Linked DNA regions of Schizosaccharomyces pombe. The protein of the gene in region 2 interacts with the protein of the main gene of each other region in a biochemical or structural test. Each region holds a gene or a part of one and is shown on either strand. Other genes may lie near its edges. The genes, in order: cdc13, rum1, pop1 and lkh1.

Region 1 (5,473 bases), 2.4 Mb from region 2:
TCGTAAGGCTGACTATTAAAAGAAAATTATAAGCTGACCATAAAGTGATGATGGAAGAATCTATTTTATGAATACCAGAGACATAAAAGTTCGGAGTCTAGTTGTCAAATTGAAGGTAAATGAAGTTCATTTAGGCATTACTGTTGGTTTTTACAATTTTTGAGTAAGTAGTTAACTAATTTTAGCATAAATATTGGCATTTATCTTCCGGTTTTCATTTGCATATAACTCGGTTTGAAGCACACGATATGGGCAAAGTTAAAGATATAGATACAGACTTCGAACCTGGTCTCCAATGTTACCAAGTTGGTTCTGACACTTCGGTTCTTCGTTATGGACTCTCGTTTTGGGATCCAAAATGGGATTATCTATTAGCTGATAATCAACATAAACAGCAATGGCAAGCTCCATCTTATAAACCACTGATATCGGAATTTTTCCCTATGGGCATTGAACATTTTATCGAAACGGCACAATCCATTGTTATGGCTGTAAATCGATCTACTATTGATTAATAAAAAAAGGATCACGATATTATTTTTAAAGAAACACATTTAATGTTTTGGTTTAAGTTGTCTATCGAGAGTTAGATGTTATTTGTTTTCATTTTTATTATGAGCAATATACGTTCTGCAAGCTATGAACATAATAAAGTAGTATTCACCTCAAGGAACTATCATTATCATTATTATTATTAATATTACTCCGACTCATGGTGTAGGATATGGGATTCCCAATCGGCAAGTAGCTCAACATCCAGAAAATATAGTACTATTTTGTTATCGTAAGGTCCTAATTGTAAAAAAGAAATAATAGCACAATACTCGTAGTTGTTTAAAGCAGCATCATTAGCAGAAACACAATTGTTATAACGTTACTAGCCACATAGATCAAAACACATATGCGACAGATAATCAAATCTAAGACTTAAAGGTGGGATAATTTAAAGGCATCCATAATTACACTTCTCCAAATGATTTTGGTTTCATAATGACACCAGCATGTACTATGCATCTGGCAATCTTCAAGTACCCGAGCATATAATAATAGAACAAAACAAAAACAAAAGCATTAGGAATTATCGGCGACTCGTTTACAGGACATTACGGTTGCTATTAGTGATAAACTAATACACATATAAAGAGCGCTTGAACAAGTTGGAATATTCACAATTGAAAGAGGTTGAGATAGTGATATGCACAATACACTAAATTACCATTCTTCATCTTTCATGTCATGTTGTATACGTTTTTGCTTGTGAAAAGTATAATCTTCATCAGCGTCATCGCCAAGAGGGATAGAATTCTTCTTGATCCAGTCACGAACAAAAAGACTAGCTTTCATAAACTTTTTGGAGGCATACTTCTTGAAAAAAGCTTCATGTTGAACAGGCTTTTGTAAATAATTAATCATCTTCTTAACAACGGAAATTAATTGGTACTCCTCATAACCTGAGTAATGCACAAGATTACGATTCCACGGTCCACGTCCAAGCATTTCCCTGGCAAGGTACATAGCGGCAGCACACTGTTGGGAAGGGGGATAAGGTAAAAGTTTATGATCTAAAAGACCAATTTCAACAAGATACTTTGCAACAGTTCTTGTTTGAATATCGTAAAAGTCGGCTTTTGAGATACGACGTAGGAAATTCATAGGATTCGGGTAAGCAAGATTAAACTCTAGGACACGCAAAATGTAGCGCTCGGCTTGAAGAATTTCCTCTTCATCATACCCACCATCCGCCATATATACAAAGTTTTGGACTGAAGGGCACATCACCTCCTCATACTTGCTAGCGATGAACAAGGCAGCAATGCCAACCAATTGTAGTTTGTTAAGAGAGCATACCCGCAATGATAAAAATCTATCAATAATATTTACGGCCAAAAACAATGTTTCAGGAAGCAGTCGGAAACGAGAATGCACTTCAATTAACCAATCGGTAAGTATTCCACGCATCTTCCATGCAAGCTCTTTTTGACGATCCATATAAGTAGGAGAGGGCATAGTTTCAATTTCCAACTCATTCAAATATTCAAAAATATCAACGACATATTCAGAAACCATAAGAGGGTCAGCCCAATCTTCTGCATCCAAGTCATCCCAATCTTGAGATTCGGGACTCTCAACACTATCACGGTGAAGTTTGGGAATATCTTTCGAAACAACGCGTTCATCAACATCTTTCTTTAATTTTTTTGGAATAGTTGCTTGATCCTTATGGAAAGCATCAACCCCATGGGTTGAAACAGAGTGTGATTTCGTTGACAAGTGTTGAGGTAACGAGGGGACTGATGAATTAAAAACAGAAGGTTGGCGACGCTTCTTGGAAGCGGGTTCATCATCTGTTGCAGGGATTATAGACTTTTCCTCGAGAGCACGACGGGTACTGACAGAAGCAGTAGTGTGTCTGACATTTGTGTTTTTACTAGCTAATGGAACACCTTCTTTGTTGTGAAAATTGGAAACATCATCCAACGCATGACGCTTCTTAGGAACGTTGGTGGAAGACACAGTGGCTTTCTTGCCATTTACTAAAGAATTTTCTGAAGAGTGCAAAGAGCTTTTTGCACGGGCAATATGGTTTGAAGGATGATTTTCGTCATTGTTGCCCAAGGTATTTGCCAATAGGTGCTGGCGAGTTAAACGACGGGTAGTCATGAGGAAAAGAAGAAACGAATTCTGTCGGGGATTGAAAGAGAGGAAGGGAAATTAAAATATTAATTGGTTCAGGTAACAGAAATGATAAAAAAGAGGTTTTGAACGAACAACCTTTTTAAAGTGTCTAAAAACGTGAAGGGGTAGTACGGGACGGAGAAGATAAAATAGAATGAGTTATACTTGAAAGTTTATACAAAAATTTTAAGGATAAAATCCAAGCAAAAATGTATGTTTCTCGTACGTATAAAGGAGAAAATAATAGCCTTTGACCGAATCTAGAATTTGGCAAGAGCTTTTGAGACTTCTTTTTTTCAATAAAGTAAGGGGATTGCGATGAAGTCCAACAATGGATATAGGAAACGTAGAACACGAAACTGAACTTTGAAATGAAGCTATATGTAGAATCGATGTACGATTTTCCTATATTAACACCAGAACAAGAAAAGAAGGGTAAATGTTGACTTTAAATGACGTTAGTAAATCTAATGAAAAAACAAAATGGCACAATAAAGGATTATCCTATGAAAAAAAGAAACTTTGATAGGAAAATAAAATGGGTAGTTATTTAAATTTAAACCCCCATGTTTTACAGCACCCACCCCTTAATCCCTTCATAAATTTTAAAAAAATAAAAAAATAAAAAGAAATGAAGTTAGACTTAAAGAGGATTTCATGTTTTCGCTGAACTAGGTGAAGTCGAGGAAAAAGGGTGACTATTGATTGGGAAGAAATTTTCACATCTTCAGAAGGTCGTATTGTATGAAAATGTTCTTACACAACCAAAACTGTATTCCCAGCCTTTAACATTACTTACAATCTGATTAAGCTCTTGTTACAAGCAAGAAGACAAGACGAAAGAACAAGCTTTGCTTAACCGACCAGGTTCCGCTTCTTTTCTCGCCTCTAGCTCTAGACAGTGACTAATAGGGGAAAAGTCCTGTTCTTGCTTATATTTCTATGAGCAGGAATGTCGTTTAAGGGTAAAAACTCGTCAAGATGCTGGTTAAGGACAGCTCGTGGTAGTGGAGTCGACTGAAAGGAGTATCGTAGAGGGCGTAAACACTATGGGGTTGTCGGGGTAACGCAACGTTGGCAAGCTGGGAAACAAATACAAACATCAAATAATATGGTAATTTTCAATGTAAACAATAATATAAATATTAAACAAAAACAAACACGAGTTTCGTAAAAATAAGAAAACGGAGATATGGAACCACAATTTAATGTATATGAGCTACCTCACTATTGTAAAAAAGAGGTAATAATGTTATTGTCTATGAAATTATGCTGGGCACATTATATAAAGTAAAGAACGTATATAATCGAAACATGATTGCTTGGGAAATGCAATTAAAAATTAGTTCTTCAAGTTTTCTTTAATAATTACAATATTTAGTGGGTAGCTTACTCGTAAGCAGAATCTGAGCAGGGTAAACAACAAAGTCATCAAAAAAGGGGAGTTAATAATTAAAAAAATTATATGGAACGATTTAATAATGTAAAATAGAAGTCAAATTTTTGAATTTGAGATATGGTCCGTCTTTATTTACATCAGTCAAATGCTTCAAAGAAAAGTGAGAATGCCAGTACACCCACTTTAGTACTATATTATGGAATTTCAAAGGACCCAAATTCATCATATTGAATCATAGGGAAGGAGCAAACGCGCTTGTAATAAAAGAATCTAAATCAGCCTTTGTAAATTTGATATACTACGTAATGAGTAAGCAAAATGAAAAACGATAACAACTTAAATGTATATACACATCGATAAACTAGCAAATGAATATCGACAAATCCTCAATACACATACCTTGTCTTTATTTTTTGTAAAATCACTGTTGATGTATCTAAACAGAGGTTAGCTATAGTGGAACTAACAGTTTTTAATTGATCTTCATACTTATCATAGAACCTTTGATATAAAGGTAGTACAGTTTTCTTAACTTCTTGCAATAGAAAAGTGGCAACACCAGTTTCAAACCTAACAGATTCACGATGCACTTGAACAACAGATGTAACTTGTTCGTTGAAGTTTCGGAATTTTTCCTTTGTAATCTCTCGTTCTTTAGCAGACATAGTGGATTTGTTTTGAGATTTTGTATAGGTAGAATCGAGCATATTTTGAGAACACTGTCGCCAAACTTCCATATACATGGTTGAGTACTTTTGTGATCGATCTCCTAGCTTTTCTAAATCAACGTCTTGTAAAAATGATGCAATTTTTGACTCAAGACATTTTGCTTCAAAATAGACGCTGATGTTTAAAAGCATTACGCCCATTTTCCATCCAATCGTATCCACTGCCTGGGCAGCTGTTTGAACAGAAGTTAGGTAGGAATCCATACAATCCATAACATAGTTCCTCGTAATGTCTTGAACTGAGCGCGCAGGACTGAGATCAGCATTAATTTCGTGTCTCCAGCCCCAATTACCAATACTTTCAAGCAAATAAGAGGCATTTTCATGCTCAGCAAGTTCATTCAAGAAACTCATAATACCATGAGTCATTTCACTGACTCTATCAGTTGTGAGAGGGACTGTTTTGTTGTTATGGCAAGTGCCATTATACAGCCTCGATATAGAAGAAATCAATATCTTTTCCATTTCACGACCAACACCATTCACAAAACCAAGGAAAGAAGCATCTTCAAAAGGCATAAGATTATTCATGTTTTGGCGTGTAACAACGATACAATCAATTAAAGACAACAAAACAAAATTTTCTGCAGCACCTCTTTTTTCATAAACTCCCTCAAGCTGTCTGGTGGCATTGGTGACAGTGTTTATGGCAGGCTTAACGATTTTGGGA
Region 2 (4,687 bases):
GCACATTACTGACTCGTGAAGGTGGACGAAGTCTAGAGGAAGTTTTAGAAATTATACTTTTTCTATTTGAAGAATTGAGACCATTATTAGGAATCGAACTTGCTACGGATGGCAAGTTGGATGTTGGTATAGTAGGAGCAGAGGAGGTGGCCGATTTTGGAATTGCGGATTGGCGATGACTTGCAAAAGATGAAGAAGGAGTCCTAAGTGAGTTTGGGTTAGAAGTCGTAGCCATGCTAACCCGAGAACGCACATTCATGGATGAAGACCTTGGGAACATGGGAAGGCCTAGAAGGTACATATGAAGATGCGGCTCTTCTTGCAGGTCGGACCTTTGGATCTTTAGACCTTAATAACCTTTGCTGCTGTTGTTTTTGAAGAGCTATAGCTTCCTCTTTTTGCCTTCGTTCTTGTTCAAGTCGTTCTTGTTCTTGTTGTAATTCGATCTTTCTCTGCTCTTCGGCTTGTATTTGAAGCATTTTTTGATGTTGCAATCTTTCTAATTCTTCATTATCAAAAGACAAACCTTTCCAGTCGCTATTTAGTATTAGATTCTGAGTATGCTCCGTTTGGCTTAGAACCGATGACCATAATTGTATTAGACGATTCGAGTTGTTAATGGAGGTTTCGAATGACTTTATTTTTTCTTTAGAAGCAGAAAGACCATCCGTAAGCTTTTCTATAGTGTAATTAAAGCTCCTTAAAATCTGTAGTTCTTGTTGCAATTCAGATGTCATGTTCAAAGAAAAAGATAGACTATCCTATTAACTGAAGACAAGAAAAAATCACTAAAAAATATATAATTAACTCAAGTATAGAAAATAATTTCTTGTGTGCAATTTAAGCCTAACAAAGTATTCGATTGAAGATGTGCGAATTGTTTAAAGAAATTCAGTACAAAGAGTAGACGAAGGTTGTTTTTATTTTTTTTTACAAAAAATATAATAAATTAAATGAAACAGTTTGAAAAGAAAATTGCAGCGACTCCAGTTGTCCCTTAGAATAAGAACGATAGGAAATATGAGGCAGAGGTTAGTGTTTACACAGGCAGAGAAGAAGAAATGAATTGAATAAAGAGTTAGTTATGTGCATTACATTTTGATAATAGTTTTTGAAGAGGAAACATATTTTTAATTTTTAATTTAACGAACCTATCATTTTAATTGTTTCATTTGGCAAATGCATTGATACTATTTATTGTAAACAATAGGTAATGAAGCGTAAAATAAGTCATAACATGAACATTCATTTATGAATATTTTAATTATTGACCAATATGTTTATAATATTTTTTGATAAATTATGTTAGTAGCGTATTCCTTAAACACATAAATAAACATTGTCACGATTTAATTTTTAACAATTGTGATATATTTTGGAAATACTTAGCGATGTAGCAACCGTGTATTTACTTTGCATATTGCTGTTCCCATTTCGATTTGAAAATGGTGTTTGAAAGATAGTCGATTCTTCATAAATCCATTTTTCCTGCATTTGAGCTAAGGTAATAAATATTGCTTATACCATCAATTTGCTAATAAGGAACAATCTTAACGAAATATCCCTTGAATTAGTTTTGATAGTACTTGCTTTTAAATAACAATAAGAGACTTATTTCATTTACCATACTCGCGAAGTTTCTTCTTTATTAGAACTTCAAATGTAGTTTACTTTTATTTACGGTTTTGCAGTCATATATTTTTATTTTCGAACTGGAATATTTCTATGATGCTTAAAATTGTTAGTAAATTTTTTAGATTTTTGCTAAAGAGAACAGAAAATCGATTCTCATTTAAAATCTAACTACACATTTATGCAAAAATTGTACTTGATCAAAGTAATTAATTTAGCGTACTGCGTTACAGCCATCTAATAGTAATGGTTACCACGAAATGAGCAAATAACCAGTTAACCAGAACGTCAAACATACAGTTCTACTACTACATACATAAGCTTTGGGTTCCTTGACAGCGGTTGTTGCAAACTGAATTTTTTTGTTTTGGATTATATATAATATACAATCAATTGATCTTGTTTAGTCTTGATTCGTGTGTGTTTACTTGAGTGCTGCAGTAATATATTACTAAATTGTACGAATTTGGTCAAAGAGAATCCGCTTTTTTATCAGTTTTTTATTTTTAAAATTTAATTTTGAATTATACTCTTTACAAGGAACGGTAGCATCTTTATAAGAAATCGAGCATTCAATTTCTATGTGAAAAAGTTGAATTCGTCTAAGCAAACAACCAACTAGTTTTTAAATTCTAACATTAGAAAGAATATTTTTCCTTGTTAATTATTCTATTTACAATTTTAAAGTTGGCACATATCTTTTTTTGATTGGTTGATTCTTTGATATTTTAGCTGCACTTACTTCTTGGTATGAAGTGAAATTTTGCTTTTTAAAATAGACATTTTCCCATTCCCGTTTTCTAAAAGATTCCTTTTTTTTGTTTACTCCGAAAATTTCAATACCTTTCTTACAAGCTACAATCCCATTTTGTTCCTTCCTTTTGATATATTGAAGCCATTTCAATTGTTTCTATATTATTTCAAACAATTTTACAAATATTGTTTAAATTGTATAATTATCAAAGCGCAGTCGCTAGCTTGGTGGGTATTAAATTGTTACCTTTTCGTTTGCTACAGGTAACTTGTGAACATTTCTGGTGCTGAATTTTCCTACACCCAAAAACCATTGAAAAATACATTTTTTAAATCATATCGGAAAGCTTGAATACACGCTCTTCTGATAATCCGCTCGATACATAAAGGATTTCTTCTTGCATTTACCTGGTTTTTGGATTGTCAGTTCGCTATGGAACCTTCAACACCACCTATGCGAGGGTTGTGTACTCCATCTACCCCAGAGTCTCCTGGGAGTTTTAAAGGAGTCATCGATGCTTCGTTAGAAGGTAATTCTTCTATTATGATAGATGAAATCCCTGAAAGCGATTTACCAGCACCTCAAGTTAGCACATTTCCACCTACACCTGCTAAAACTCCCAAAAAGCAATTACTACCAAATTTAATGCTACAAGATCGGAGTAATTCTTTAGAAAGATGTATGGAAGAAGACAGAGAACACAATCCTTTTCTCAGTTCATCTGATAACCAGCTTTTGTCAAGAAAGAAGAGAAAGCCTACTCCTCCTCCTTCTGATGGTTTGTACTATGTTTTTCGGGGGAAAAGAATCAAGAAATCCTTCAGGCCTGGAACTGATTTATCTACTTTTAAGCCCAAACTCTTGTTTGCTGACTCGGCGCCTTCTTCTAGTTCAGATAACCCAACATCCTCTGTAGACCTTAATGACTATTCTCAAATTGGCATTCTCCCTCCAAACCTGAATTCTATTGGGAATAAAATGTTCTCGTTAAAATCAAGGGTTCCATCTTCCTCGTCAGGTTCCTTTGTTGCTCCCCCACCGCAAATGCGTTTACCTGCGTATTCATCACCACAAAAATCACGATCTAATACAAAAGATGAAAACAGGCACAATTTATTACGATAACTTTTTTTCGCATTTTGTAATTGTGTTTGATACCGTTTATATAAATGCCCAATCACGAAATACTCTTCTGCCTTATTCATGATAATCGTTCGTTTGAACTTTTGGTAGTAGATCAGAACCTCCTATTCTCTATTCTTGATGAAAATGCATTTTGACAAACGCTGGTCGTTAGTCATTCATGGTAATATCACCACAATATCACCACGATTTTCTTAATTGAGTATCTATAATTACATTTCCCCATCTTTCCATTTGTGCCTATTCATATTCCATTTGGCAACTTAATTTTTTATCGTCCTCCCGTGTCTGCCCTGAGCCATTGCAACTTTTTTTAGCAACCTTTTACGGCATGCTTTGAAATATTATACGTTTAACTTATTTCCTAATTTCATCCACTGAGCTTTTACTTTAAGACTTATACTAATATTACATGGCTTTCACAATTTTCTTTTCTTTGTTCAGAGAGTGAATATATTCTGAAATGTTGTATTTATCGATTAGTTAATAATGCTATTCGATTTCTAAATTTTTTGCTGGTTTGGAAACTATAGTCTGTTATTCTCAATAACTAGTTTTATATTCAATTGTTTTATCCCAGTAATAAAAAGGTATTTTTATACCGCATATACAATACTATTCTAGGCTTCTTAGACAGTTATACACATTACGGTATTGCTGTTACATTGAGTTAATTTGTGGTTTGGTGATATAGTGAAGTTTACTAGCTGGTACTGAAATCCTACAAATGGATAACAAAACTGGTTCTAAGCGTATGAAAGGAGTCTTTGGGTAAAATTATAGTGTAATATCGTTTCGTTCATTGAAGTAATAATTAGGCCTAACCGACTCTACTTGACTAACATTTTTTCTTCACACCATGAAGCATGATGAATAATGTATTTATTTATGTTACCTGAGCGGTAAGATGATTTGTTTACATAATGTCACTTTTATTTACATTTGCACTGCAAAATGACAACAAGGAAGCCACTTACATCACAGTGAAGTTCGTTAAAAATTCGTAACTCTTATATTTACATGGTACCCGTGTTTCTCCCCTCTACCATACTGAGCATATAAAATAACACAAAAGTTAGTGAATCATTTTGTGGCATATCCGAACACTCCTTAGCTTTTTACGAAGCAAAACAAGAAACGATTAATAATATCATCTAT
Region 3 (4,911 bases), 670 kb from region 2:
GTACCGCTTATAGCATAATGTTGATATCGCGAAGAAAATTAAATTTTTAAGAGTAAAGTCAGACTTAGTTTGCAGAATTTCCTCTTTGTATGAATTCATTTGTCATTTATACTTAGAAGTAAAGGGTATTTGATAAGTTGATATCTATATATGGTAATTTTGTGAACGCGTCGAACGCGTCTTAAGTGTACGTATATTACAGTCCCACCTGTGGTTTTCCAACACTTTAAACTACACTAAAATGGCTTACATAGATAAATGGAATGCGAAAAGCATGTTTTACGATGAAGACATTTGGTAGCTTATGAAGTAATGTAAAAGCCTTTTGTTAAATTAAATGTCTTTTTACATTTACAAAGCTAAAATGTTTGTTTTTTTATTTACTATAGTTTGCTAATTATAAAAATATAGTACGCTTTTGGGTAGAATGGACGCTATTTGAAGCTAAGGATTCAAGAAATTCGCTTATCCCTTTGGTAAAAAAATTTTGGCCTCAACAAACGAATTTAACACTAAATAATTTATAAATGTAGAATAGATCATTTAAAAAAATATTATTTTGCATTCTTATTAGATATTTAAAAAAGAAAATTATGAGTAAACATTTAAAAGTCAACAAACAATTAGACAAATATTATATGATAGAGGAGTTTCCAGAATAAATAGCATGAATCTATTTCAGTTTGGAAACGTAAAATAAAATTTCGAGATCTTTTATAGATTTCTAGTATCTCAACTTATAAAAGCTCAAGAAGATTTAGTAGATCCAAACTCTAGGACCTCGATCCAAAAACGGTTATTTCTTAAAACAGCAGCCACACATACATTTTCATTATAAGCAACTTGCCAGATTATATCCAAATCAGTCAATAGGTCTCTTACTAACTTTCCGGAACGAATGTCCCATAACTGTAGCGTACTATGGCTTCCACTGACAACTTTGCTCTCGTCGTGTTGAAAAAATATGTGTCCCAAAGGACATTTTAAAATATCTCGACAACTTCCGGTGTTTAGATCCCAAACTCTCAACGATGTATCAGGAGGAGCAGAAGCGGATACCAAGATATTTTGGTTAAATGTAACTTGACTTACCAAATTCGAATGACCATGAAGGGTCTGTAGAAGTTCTCCAGACTCAAGGTTCCAAATACGAATTTTAGCATCCGTACCAGCGCTGATACATTGTTGACGAGAAGGATTAATTGTGACACTGTATACTCTCCCGACGTGTCCCCGAAGAACATGTAAACAAACGCCAGTAGATGCCTTCCATACTCTAAGAGTACCATCATAACTGGCACTGACAATCAAATCTCCAAGACAAGCAACTTCACGTACCGAGTCCGTATGACCACGTAATGTTCGGATGTAAAACGGATTGGTCGTAGCTGAAGTAAAGTCATTATTCTGATCAGGATTTTCATTTACATTAACAAATGGTGGATCGTCAAGGCATGGAAGACTCCATAAACGGATCGTACAATCCCTTGAACTTGAAATTATATACGGAGGCATTGAATTAGCATCATTTGAAGCTGGTCTGTTTTCTTTTTCCACATCATCAGTATCAGTAGTACTTTGATTGCCTTGAACTATTTTGATACAACGGATTGTTGACGTGTGTCCATAAAACACCTGTTTACATTCACCGGTTCTAAGGTCCCAGACTCTTACTGTCCTGTCTGTGGAGCCAGTAACCAAAGTATCCCCAACGTATTCAAAAGTCCAAACATCACCTTCATGCTCTTCTAAACTGCGTATCAGGACACCTGTTTTCGTGTCATATATATTAATTCTAGGACTGCAGGTGCTAACAATTATTTTGTCATCATCAAACTGAAGTTTGGTAATAAGACGAACTCCATGAATTGGGAATGAACATCGCTTAATTTTCTCCGGGGCATGGAGCCATCTTTCACGAAGATTAAAATGTCTAAAATAGACCCGCTTCATTATCGCACAGGCTGACAAAGATTGTTCTAAACACATCGTACGGATTTTACTATCAATTGAATCCCAAAAGAAACCATCTTTTAAAAAGAGACTTTTCCAAAGTTCTTCGTTGGACGATACCAACTTATACCAGTGATGCGAAACTTGCGAAACTGCACACAATGAAGGTGCATCTAAATGCGTAAGCACTAAATTTGTAATCTCAGCCGGAAATCCAGTTAAAAAGTTCTTTTGAAAGATAGGAAGCAGAATTTTGTGAATATTTTGAACAGCATGTTTTCCACATCGAGAAAGAAGATGAAAAAGTAAGTATTGACGAACACTTTCGGGTAATTTTTCGAAGGAAGAAATTAATTGTGCTAATTTCAAAACAGCATTTTTTTGAGAGCTCAAATGATTAGAAGGATGAATGCTAGGATTTTCTGAAGAAAAATCATATATGACAGGTTCATGCAAAGAATTATGTGAAGATGAAGATGAATGAGGGGGAAAAGATTGACGGGTTTTGGAATCGTTGCCGAGTAAATTAGGAGAAAAATAAGAGTAATTAACAGAATTATTTGGTGCATCAAGTGAGAATGTTGTTTCACTAGCGACTTCCTTACTGTCACAGTTGTTTGGGTAGAAAACGTTCGAGTAGTTAGTAGAAGGAAAAGTTTCATTCTTTTTATTCCCATCACTTTGAGAATTGAAGAGAAACCGCTTATTAGCATGCAAATTAGAGCTGAGACTAGAGTTACGGCGTTTAAGGCACTTTTCGCGATGCTCTGACGGCAGCTCACAACTCAAATGGGGCCGGTTAAGATCACAATGTAGATATAAAAGATTTTGCAAGTTTTCCAAATTTTCTTTATCAGATAAACATCGATTGTTAGTAAATATCATCGATTGCTGACTTCCCTTGCTATCAAATTGTAGACTAACACGACTAAGCTCCTCGGGAATTCTGGTCATTATATTATTTCCTTCCAGGAGATCTTTTTTAGTGGAACATGGAGAAAATCTCTCGACATTTGGCCGGGGAGAAGAGGAAACATCAATACTCGGTGATACCATAGTTGTCTCACCGAAAAATTCATTGGAATCTAAAACAGATAGGCTATCTTTTTTCTTCTCATTCATTTCAAGTAGTTTACAGACACTTAGTAGAAAAGTATTTGTCAAGTTCTTTTATGATGTTAGAGAACCTGGTTCAAGAATCGATACTGATGAATTTACTTAAAACAACTGCCCGTTGGGAAACATGTATATGAAATTATTTTGCAAATAGTTATCGTCTTAATGCATTAGAGCAATACTTTTTCTTGGTTTTTTTGAAGTTCAGCGAGATAGATCGTAAAGACCATAAACTCTTGGCAATGAATTTTAAATTCACTCTACGCAAGCGGAGGTGTAAGTAACACCAGAATAAGTAACAATTTTACTGTTGATTAAGAAAAGTTTTTATAGTTTATGGTAAATACGACTAAATCGCGACATAACAATAGTTCAATAAGAAAAGTTATATGACTTAGTTATGGCTCCTCAATATTATTTTTTTTTACATTATTTGCGATAGTGTTTTAATTGTATACCAGATATTAACCTCCTCAGCATTTTCAAATAAATTCTCTAAAGACAAAAACAATGAACACGTGAAGTATTCATATTATAAAATTGTCTTTTCCGTTGCGTTTTTGCAGCTAAAGAATGCAGACACAATAGTAGCTCGCGAATTTCATTACACGCCAATAAAGTTGGGAAAGAGATTACCCTCCCCTGTCATATTCTAAATGACACGGACACATATAATAATTTATTAATAAAATTTGAGCATGAGCGTAAAATGTAAAATGTCAGACTAAGATGGCGTTTCTAGTACATCATTTTCTTAGGCCGTTGAAAGAAATTTTTTGTCTCGTCAATGACATGCATCGGGTAATTTCGGCAGGCATTGGGCTATTATTCGACTTCTCTCCATTCAAAATTTGACTTAATCTCAGTATCCAAAGAAGCGTCAAATACGCTACCAAGATAAATAATTAAATTGTTATCCGTAAAAGTTCTTAGCATAGCAAACCGATAAACCGAGTGTAAACACGATATTAATTAATTAATATTATATCATATTTAATGAGCTGCAGAACATCATTTGCCGAAATGCACCGAGCCTCTTATATCTAGGATGATTTGTATGTACCAGATTACTTTCCCAAGAGATTATTAAATATATTTAATAGTATTAGGAGAAAATCAATATAACGTTGAGTCGAGCCAACGTATTTGTAAGTTAGGTATACAGGGATGTCATTAGGCTTACGTACACCGCGCAATTCAATTGCAAAAGGCCCAGGGGACCAAGAACTTCCTTATGATAAGAAAGCTAAAGCGATAAACAAAAATTAAATTACTTGGCTTGGAAATAATAATAATTTGCTTTGAAATGAATGATTGAACGCCCCGCGACCCCGGGACAGTATAAATTTTCCTGGGGTAGATCAAATTCACGCATTTAATTGGTTGAATTTATCAACTGACTTTTAAGTTCATTTTTAATTAAGTTATCAGCCAATGAATACAAAGCCGATAGCAAGGCAAGCAATGATTGGAGCGCAATAGTTGACTGTTTTGGCGCTAATTATTTCGGGTTTATGGTTAGAAATTTTCTGAAAAAATCAACGTTGAAAACTTACAGGCTTTCATGGTTAATTAGTGGCAAAACGCCACGGCTCTTAATCAAAAGATGGTGAAGTGCTTGAAAAAAGAAATGTATATAAAGCTGAGCTGATTTTTAGGGAAAAGCCGTGAGCTGAAATTAAACAATCAGAACCGCAAAAGGTAAAGACCATTATATTCTTTACCATCTTTCTTTTATTTTCTAGTATCAAGTTACTAGCATATCCTATCGTTTATAAAGTCAATCGTTAGATTCCTGTCAAATCTTTTAAATCTAAAAATGCTCTTTAACAACTTTCTTTG
Region 4 (6,651 bases), on a different chromosome or scaffold from region 2:
TACACTGCGTTTTATAGATGTTACTATGTATAGCAAGATTAATTAACATGTTATTGTTATTTGTTATTATGTTTTTAATACTATGTATTTATAGCATCTGTAATGTCTGCGTTTTTCAACTGCCAAAGAGCGCATTTTCTACAAGTTTCGGTTAATGTTGCAAATAACCGATTAGACTTTCATGTCATGACACTTGATTTCACTTGTGCTGACGCTTTTTTATGAACGGCATATCGCTGTTCAGCTGCTTTACCGACATGTAATGGCCAAATCTCGAGCTTGACACTTTGTAAAAAGTCTCAATAATAATTCCCCATCCACAACTGACATACATAATTGATAGTACTTACTAGCCTTTACCCTTGCCAGCCAGACAGCTTCCACTGTACTGAGGTCAGGGATCATGACATAGACTGATTGCAAATTACGAACAAGACCGTCAATCTGCACTTTAGCATCTCCTAAAATAATAATCGTTAAAGCCGACTAGCTATTAGGGATGACGGGAGGAGCAAAAAAATAGCCTGAAAAAAGAAAAAGAAAAGAAAGCGTATTTAAAGAAAGGTTAAAATTTTCTTTGTTCTTTCAATAAGTAAGCAGTTTACTCCTGGTCCAGAAGTGCGACGGACCTTGCGTGCCGGTAAGGAAGTTGCAAAAAAAAAAAAAAAGGAAAAAAAGAACCGAGATAAAGTTGACTTTCAACTTCCGTCTGCAGTAACCGGATTTCCCAAAAATTTCAACGGGTAATTCAATTATGCAAGGGGATTGTCATTCTTTTTTTTACATTTTTGAGTTTCACGACACATTAGTCCCTTAATTGCAGCTACAACCATGCCTTGTTGCCTATTTTTTTCCTTTGCTTAATTACAATTTCTCACCCCATTTGAAGTCATGTTGATTGAATTTTTCACATCCCGTTTTCAAGCTCTAACATCAGTCATTGTAGATGATTGATTGTAGAAAATTATATTTGTTTCCTTTTCGCGACCATTAAATGATTATTCAATAGTTGATGAATTATTGCCTTTGTTGTTTTGTTACTCATCATGGCAATTTTATCGTATTATTTGTTACATAGATTATTGTCATCCACTAAATTTTTTGATGGCCAAGCGTCGCTGTTTGGACGAAATATTCGATTACCGAGGACGGATGGCCATAATCAAGACTAGTTTGGTAAGAGAATTTGGCAGATGGGCTGGACGACATTTGTTGAAAGTGTGAGAAACGCTTCTGAAAAGGCATGTTTTCTATATTTCATTTCTATTCTGGTAAAGAATTGTGCGGAATACTATACCATGGACAAATGGGGCGGGCGACAAGGCAGCTACAGTATAAGCGGGCATATAGCATTCATTGTATAATACAGTATATAGTACATGGTAGGTAGAGTTGGATAGAGATGGTGAGAATGACAGTTGCATTATTTATGCGTAAAACTATATGTAAATTTTATAACTATTTATGTAAACATGCGTTTATATATGTGTATGAGTGTGCATGCTTGTGTACATTTGTGTGTGTGTGTATGTGTGGTGTGTATTGATGTTTGAATGGTATGATGACAATGATAAGCCATTTCTTACGAAAACTCCTTAAGTGAATATGGTTGAGTTGAATGGAGCGGCATTTGAATGGTAAATGATTAGTGATCTAAATTAATGAAAATTCATTCAGCGCCTCTGCCTCTACGGCCATGGCGGTTTTCGTAGATCTCAGCCCTTCAGAGTAGCAAGCGTCTCTTACGCTATAGTTGGGTGACGGCTAGGTACGTTGCATACTGCGCACATGGTGTTGTGGAATGTGTATACTTTTTCATAGGAAGGAGGTGCCAAACGCAACGCGCCTGGATGGTGATTGTTGGGTTGTTCCCTCGTCCGGCCAATTTTTTCCAGCTATTTTATTTTAAGGATAGAATAACAATGATGTTGTTCCGGTCTCACAAACATGATTATCTCATGCAAATTTCACCTTTTCTAAGTGGCTTTACCAAAGAAAACGCAACTTATTATTATCCAAACTCTTGCTAATTCCTTTTTACTTTCTCCACATCCCTCGAATTGGCTTGAGGCTTTTTCTTTTATCCTTTCTATCCTCAATTACTAGTTTTCTTAGCAGTTGTATTATTAGGACATTGCTTTGTTGTTTTACCCCCCCCCCATTGGAATTACATTCTGTGGGATTGAAGGAAAGAAAAAGAAAATTGCTTATTAAGAGTCGTATATACTTCATTCTTCAATTTACTACACTCACTACTTGCTTTTCTCCATCTACGATCTACCATTTTGTTAGGTAGACTTTCGTACTACAGCTACATCGCTTGTCGTCGACTTTGTGTGCTTTTGAAAACTGCCCTGGTAATTGCCGATTCTTTTGGGGGTTATTTATACTTTTGTTTTATCCAAATTACTAATCCGCCTGATTTGGACATTGATCAATTTTGGTAGTAGCGCAATCGCACCCCCTCAAACACAAAAACCTCATCATTGTCTCATGGTACAATATTGCCTTGGAACATCATTACTTTAAAGCAATACGATTGATACAAAGGTTTCCGCTAGTTGTTGATTGAAGGTTTGGTGTTTATCGTTTTTTCGTGTTTGATTTGCCTTTACAGACCCTCCGTGTTCGGCATACTTATTCTCCGGTATTGTAGATATTTATTTCTCTCCGATACCTTTTTGCATTTGCTGTTTCTCTTTACTGTTGCACCCTACATTTGATTGAGAAAGGGGTTTAGTGGTTGTCGTCAATTGTCTTTATTCTGAGAAAACGGCTTTCTTCTCCCTGATATAAGAAACCATTTGGTTTGATAAATATATTTCAAGTTCACTTTCTCACTGTTTTCCGCTTCTTTGCTGATTTATCGTTTGATCGACGGCCTTGCAATTTTACAACGTCGAGAATTTTAACTTCTTTCTTCGTGATTGCATTCAAATTTTGAAACTCTTTCGAAGTAGGTGTACCAGTTAACTTGATTGCTCATTCTTCCTCCCATTCTCTGCTTCTTGATGAACTAGCTGTTCTGGTCCAACACCAATTGTCGAATGCTTGTCAGTTCAGTTCTATTGCTTTAATTCGTCCATTTTTTATTTTTATTTTTTAAATTCCGCCTTTCTATTTTGTTCTTACCCTTCGACGAGTCGAAAAAAAAGGTTTTTTATTGCTTTTGTCGCTTGGTGACTTCGAACAAGGAAACTTTTCCCCTTATTATTGTTTGAGAAACACTTATTTTCGGTGGTTGGTATCTCTTTTCATCATTTTTGCTTCTGGTTTTGCATAATTCTAAAAGATACTTATCCCTTTTTTCAGGTTTCGACGTCTTCTACCTCTTCACTTTACCAATTTGCTCGCATGACTTAGACGGAATCTTTTTATTGTAAAATGCATTCCTTAAAACGTCGTAGAAATCATGCGCCTGATTGGCAGGACTTTTATAAAAATGGTGTTCCACAAGAAGTCATTGTTATAGAGGACTCAGCTTCTCCACGGCTTACCCCTAATTTACCGCCTCCTTTTTCTGTTCATCAATTACAATCCTTCGTACCTCCGCAACCTCCCTCATCATCATCACCCTCTACCACTGGCACTGTGGCAGTCCCTATCAATGGTGCGAATGCTGTTTATCCATCAACTAACTCGGTATCTCTTCCTCAATCCTATGATCCATGGTTGGATGCTAATGGCGTCGTTCCATTACCGCATGATGTCGCCAGCCATCCTTCATATATGGTTCAGTCTCCTACATCGTATCATGCGTGTTCAAATAATCAATCGCCATTTCCCCATTCACATCATCCTCCCCTTCATAATCCACTACCTGTTTCATGTCAACCTGTTTTACGGCCGCCTCCTGTCCCTCAAGTTCCTTCACACTGGTACCCGGTTTCGCTTCCCTCTCCTAATTTACCTCACCAACCAATTTCTAAACCTCCAGTGATCCCTAATTTACCAAAGCTCCAAGTCCATCCGAACAGGCTTCCACATCCCATCCATAATCATCCTTACTCGTCTCCAACCTCTTATCCTCCCCCACTATGTCCTGCAACGTATTGTCCTTCTAACCCTCCTCAGCTAGCTCCGGCTACTGCTATCGCTCCTTCCTCGCAATCGTCTCAACATAAAAGTGTAAATTATTCCGTCACCCCAAGTTCCATTAACAATCATACCGCTGTACCATTATCTCCAACGCTGGCCGTATGGCTTCCGATGACTCAACCAACTTTCCAACCTCCTTCTGCAAACGTTTATCAACCGGCTTCTAATGCCAATCAAGTTATCACTCCTGTATCTATTTCCGATTATCGACCTCCGAAGAAAAGGAAGCGAGCTGCATGGCCCCCATATAAAAAAGTCGACCGCGTAAATGTTCCTGTTGTGCATGATACTACCGCTTTTGATCCATCAACTTTTGATGATGATGACGGTCATTACAAGGTTGTACCTAACTCCAAATTTGCCAACCGTTATACAGTTGTTCGTTTGCTTGGGCACGGTACTTTTGGCAAAGTTATCCAGTGTTACGATCAAAGTACAGGTAGACATTGTGCTATCAAGGTGACTCGAGCAATTCCAAAGTACAGAGAAGCTAGTCTCATTGAATTAAGAGTTTTACAAACTATAGCTCATAGTGATCCGACAAATGAAAATAAGTGCATTCAGTTACGCGATTATTTCGATTACCGCAAGCACATCTGCATTGTGACTGATCTTTTTGGCTGGAGTGTCTTTGATTTTTTAAAGAATAACAACTACATTCCTTTCCCTTTGAAGCATATTCAGATGCTATCCCAACAACTTTTTAAAAGTGTTGCGTTTCTTCACTCTTTGGGACTAGTACATACCGATCTTAAACCCGAAAATGTTCTTCTGGTATCTAATGCCTCAAGAACTATTCGATTACCTTATCGGAATTATTCACAGAAAGTCCTTAATAGTTGTGAAATCCGGCTTATCGACTTTGGTAGTGCAACATTTGAAGATGAATACCATTCCAGTGTAGTGAGTACTCGTCATTATCGTGCTCCAGAGATTATTTTAGGGTTGGGTTGGTCTTATCCTTGCGATGTTTGGAGTATTGGATGTATTTTAGTTGAGTTATTCACGGGACAAGCCTTGTTTCAAACCCATGAAGATAGTGAGCATCTGTGCATGATGGAAAAAATCCTGGGTCCCTTTGATAGGAATATGATTTCGCGTTCCTCTCGTACATCGCAACGTTTTTTTAAATCTGACGGAAAAGTCCGTTATCCTTTGTCAAATACGCCTAAAAAAAGCATTAATTATCTTCAATCTCTGCAAACGCTAGAGCAAATATTTGCAGTATCATCTCCAGAAGTGGCTTTGCTGCTTGATTTATTGAAAAAAGTATTCGTTTACGATCCTAAGCGGCGAATAACTGCAAAAGAGGCCCTTTGGCATCCCTTTTTCACCCAACCAATTTCTTCAAATTTGTGATGGATAAACTTAGAGATTTATAATTTACTTCATGTTTTTCAATAATTTTCACTCTTTCTAATTTACAAATCTACGGAAGTCTCGTATTTCTGGTTTGTGTTACGCTTTAGCTGATGTTTATTCGTTTGTTATTATTCAGTTTCTTAGACGAAAACTCGCATGTTCTACAATTACTTTAATTGCATAGAGTACTTGGTTATCCGATATAAATTAAAACTCAAAATTGTCCTCTTTTTAGATTATTCCATAAAGGTTTGATTAAGTCGTCAATTACACTCGTAAATTTTGGTCCTTGGGTTAAATAGTAGTTACTCAGTGAAATAAAAGAAAAAAAGATCATTAATGGTTTTCAGGACTATTTTAATAGATACGGATTACCTTGACAATTTTTTTGAAGTCTGAAGTATTTTGTTATGAACATAATTGTATAATGAAGAAAAGGTTTGCCCATTTCATTAAACAACAGAGATCACTTGCCTGAGACCCAATTTATATAATATGAGACAATAGCTCAAGTAGTTAGAACTTTAAAGGATCCGACTCCTCTTTTAAATTTTCCTCATTAAATAGATAAGCCAGAGGCTTTCCAAAATAACGAAACAATGAGATATCCGATATTTTAAGAGTCATTCCATCAAACGCCAAAGCTATATGTAAGTCTTCTGTCGAAATATCAATGTCTGGTAATTTGGGATATCGTTGGCTAAAATGAGTCAAAATAACGTTTTTTGTACCAGCTTTTTTGGCCACTTCTAAAGCTTCAGAGTAAGTACTGTGTTGCTTTTTTATTGCAATTTCGTGCATAGAGTCTTCCAAAGTAGCTTCGTGAATTAATAAAGTTGAGTCTTTGGCAATGTTAGCAAAATCCTCAGAAGGTCGAGTATCTCCAGAGTATGCGATCTTCCAACCACTGGAATTAGTAATCTCCATGCAATATGAATACGGGCAGTGTATGGCAGGAACCGTTCGAAAAGATACTAAATCAAATTCTTTAAATAAAGAAGACAACCTAGAGGATTCCAAAGCAGACGGCTTCCTGTCAGTACGTAAAGCACTATTGGAAATAAATACGATGTTGGATAATGGTAGATAATCAATCCTTGAGTATTCTAGTAGCCAAAATTCAAATTGTGGAGGTGCTGTTATAAACAACTTTGATCTGCCATCTGAGTACTTCGTCCAAGCCTTTAAAAC

The links.
Region 1: the proteins of rum1 (region 2) and cdc13 form a complex in vitro, tested with the Schizosaccharomyces pombe proteins (2 studies listed by BioGRID).
Region 3: the proteins of rum1 (region 2) and pop1 form a complex in vitro, tested with the Schizosaccharomyces pombe proteins (2 studies listed by BioGRID).
Region 4: the proteins of rum1 (region 2) and lkh1 form a complex in vitro, tested with the Schizosaccharomyces pombe proteins (one study listed by BioGRID).

The regions. Positions count from the first base shown.
Region 1 is NC_003423.3:418,311-423,783, reverse strand, and holds cdc13 (G2/M B-type cyclin Cdc13), read right to left. Parts: upstream 3,674-5,473; 5' UTR 3,476-3,673; exon of another isoform or gene 3,349-3,475; intron 3,123-3,348; 5' UTR 2,662-3,122; coding exon 1,213-2,661; 3' UTR 516-1,212; downstream 1-515. Other genes in the region: protein dsh1, read left to right, coding at 1-2, 46-115, 186-515; exocyst complex subunit Exo70, read right to left, coding at 4,308-4,373, 4,475-4,511, 4,565-5,473.
Region 2 is NC_003423.3:2,797,771-2,802,457, forward strand, and holds rum1 (CDK inhibitor Rum1), read left to right. Parts: upstream 1-1,906; 5' UTR 1,907-2,818; coding exon 2,819-3,511; 3' UTR 3,512-4,147; downstream 4,148-4,687. UniProt on the Schizosaccharomyces pombe protein: Regulator of cell cycle G1 phase progression. Ensures the correct sequence of S phase and mitosis in the cell by acting as an inhibitor of the cdc2 mitotic kinase. Probably interacts with cdc2 to inhibit its action until the cell mass for Start is reached.
Region 3 is NC_003423.3:3,467,507-3,472,417, reverse strand, and holds pop1 (cullin 1 adaptor protein Pop1), read right to left. Parts: upstream 3,291-4,911; 5' UTR 3,076-3,290; coding exon 748-3,075; 3' UTR 533-747; downstream 1-532. Other genes in the region: synaptonemal complex-associated protein hop1, read right to left, coding at 5-99; beta-glucosidase Psu2, read left to right, coding at 4,889-4,911.
Region 4 is NC_003424.3:655,566-662,216, reverse strand, and holds lkh1 (dual-specificity), read left to right. Parts: upstream 1-2,039; 5' UTR 2,040-3,384; coding exon 3,385-5,457; 3' UTR 5,458-5,976; downstream 5,977-6,651. Other genes in the region: 3' tRNA-processing endonuclease tRNAse Z L2 Trz1, read right to left, coding at 5,977-6,651. UniProt on the Schizosaccharomyces pombe protein: Protein kinase that may act as a negative regulator of filamentous growth and flocculation. Appears to have a role in normal cell wall and septum formation and in cell separation.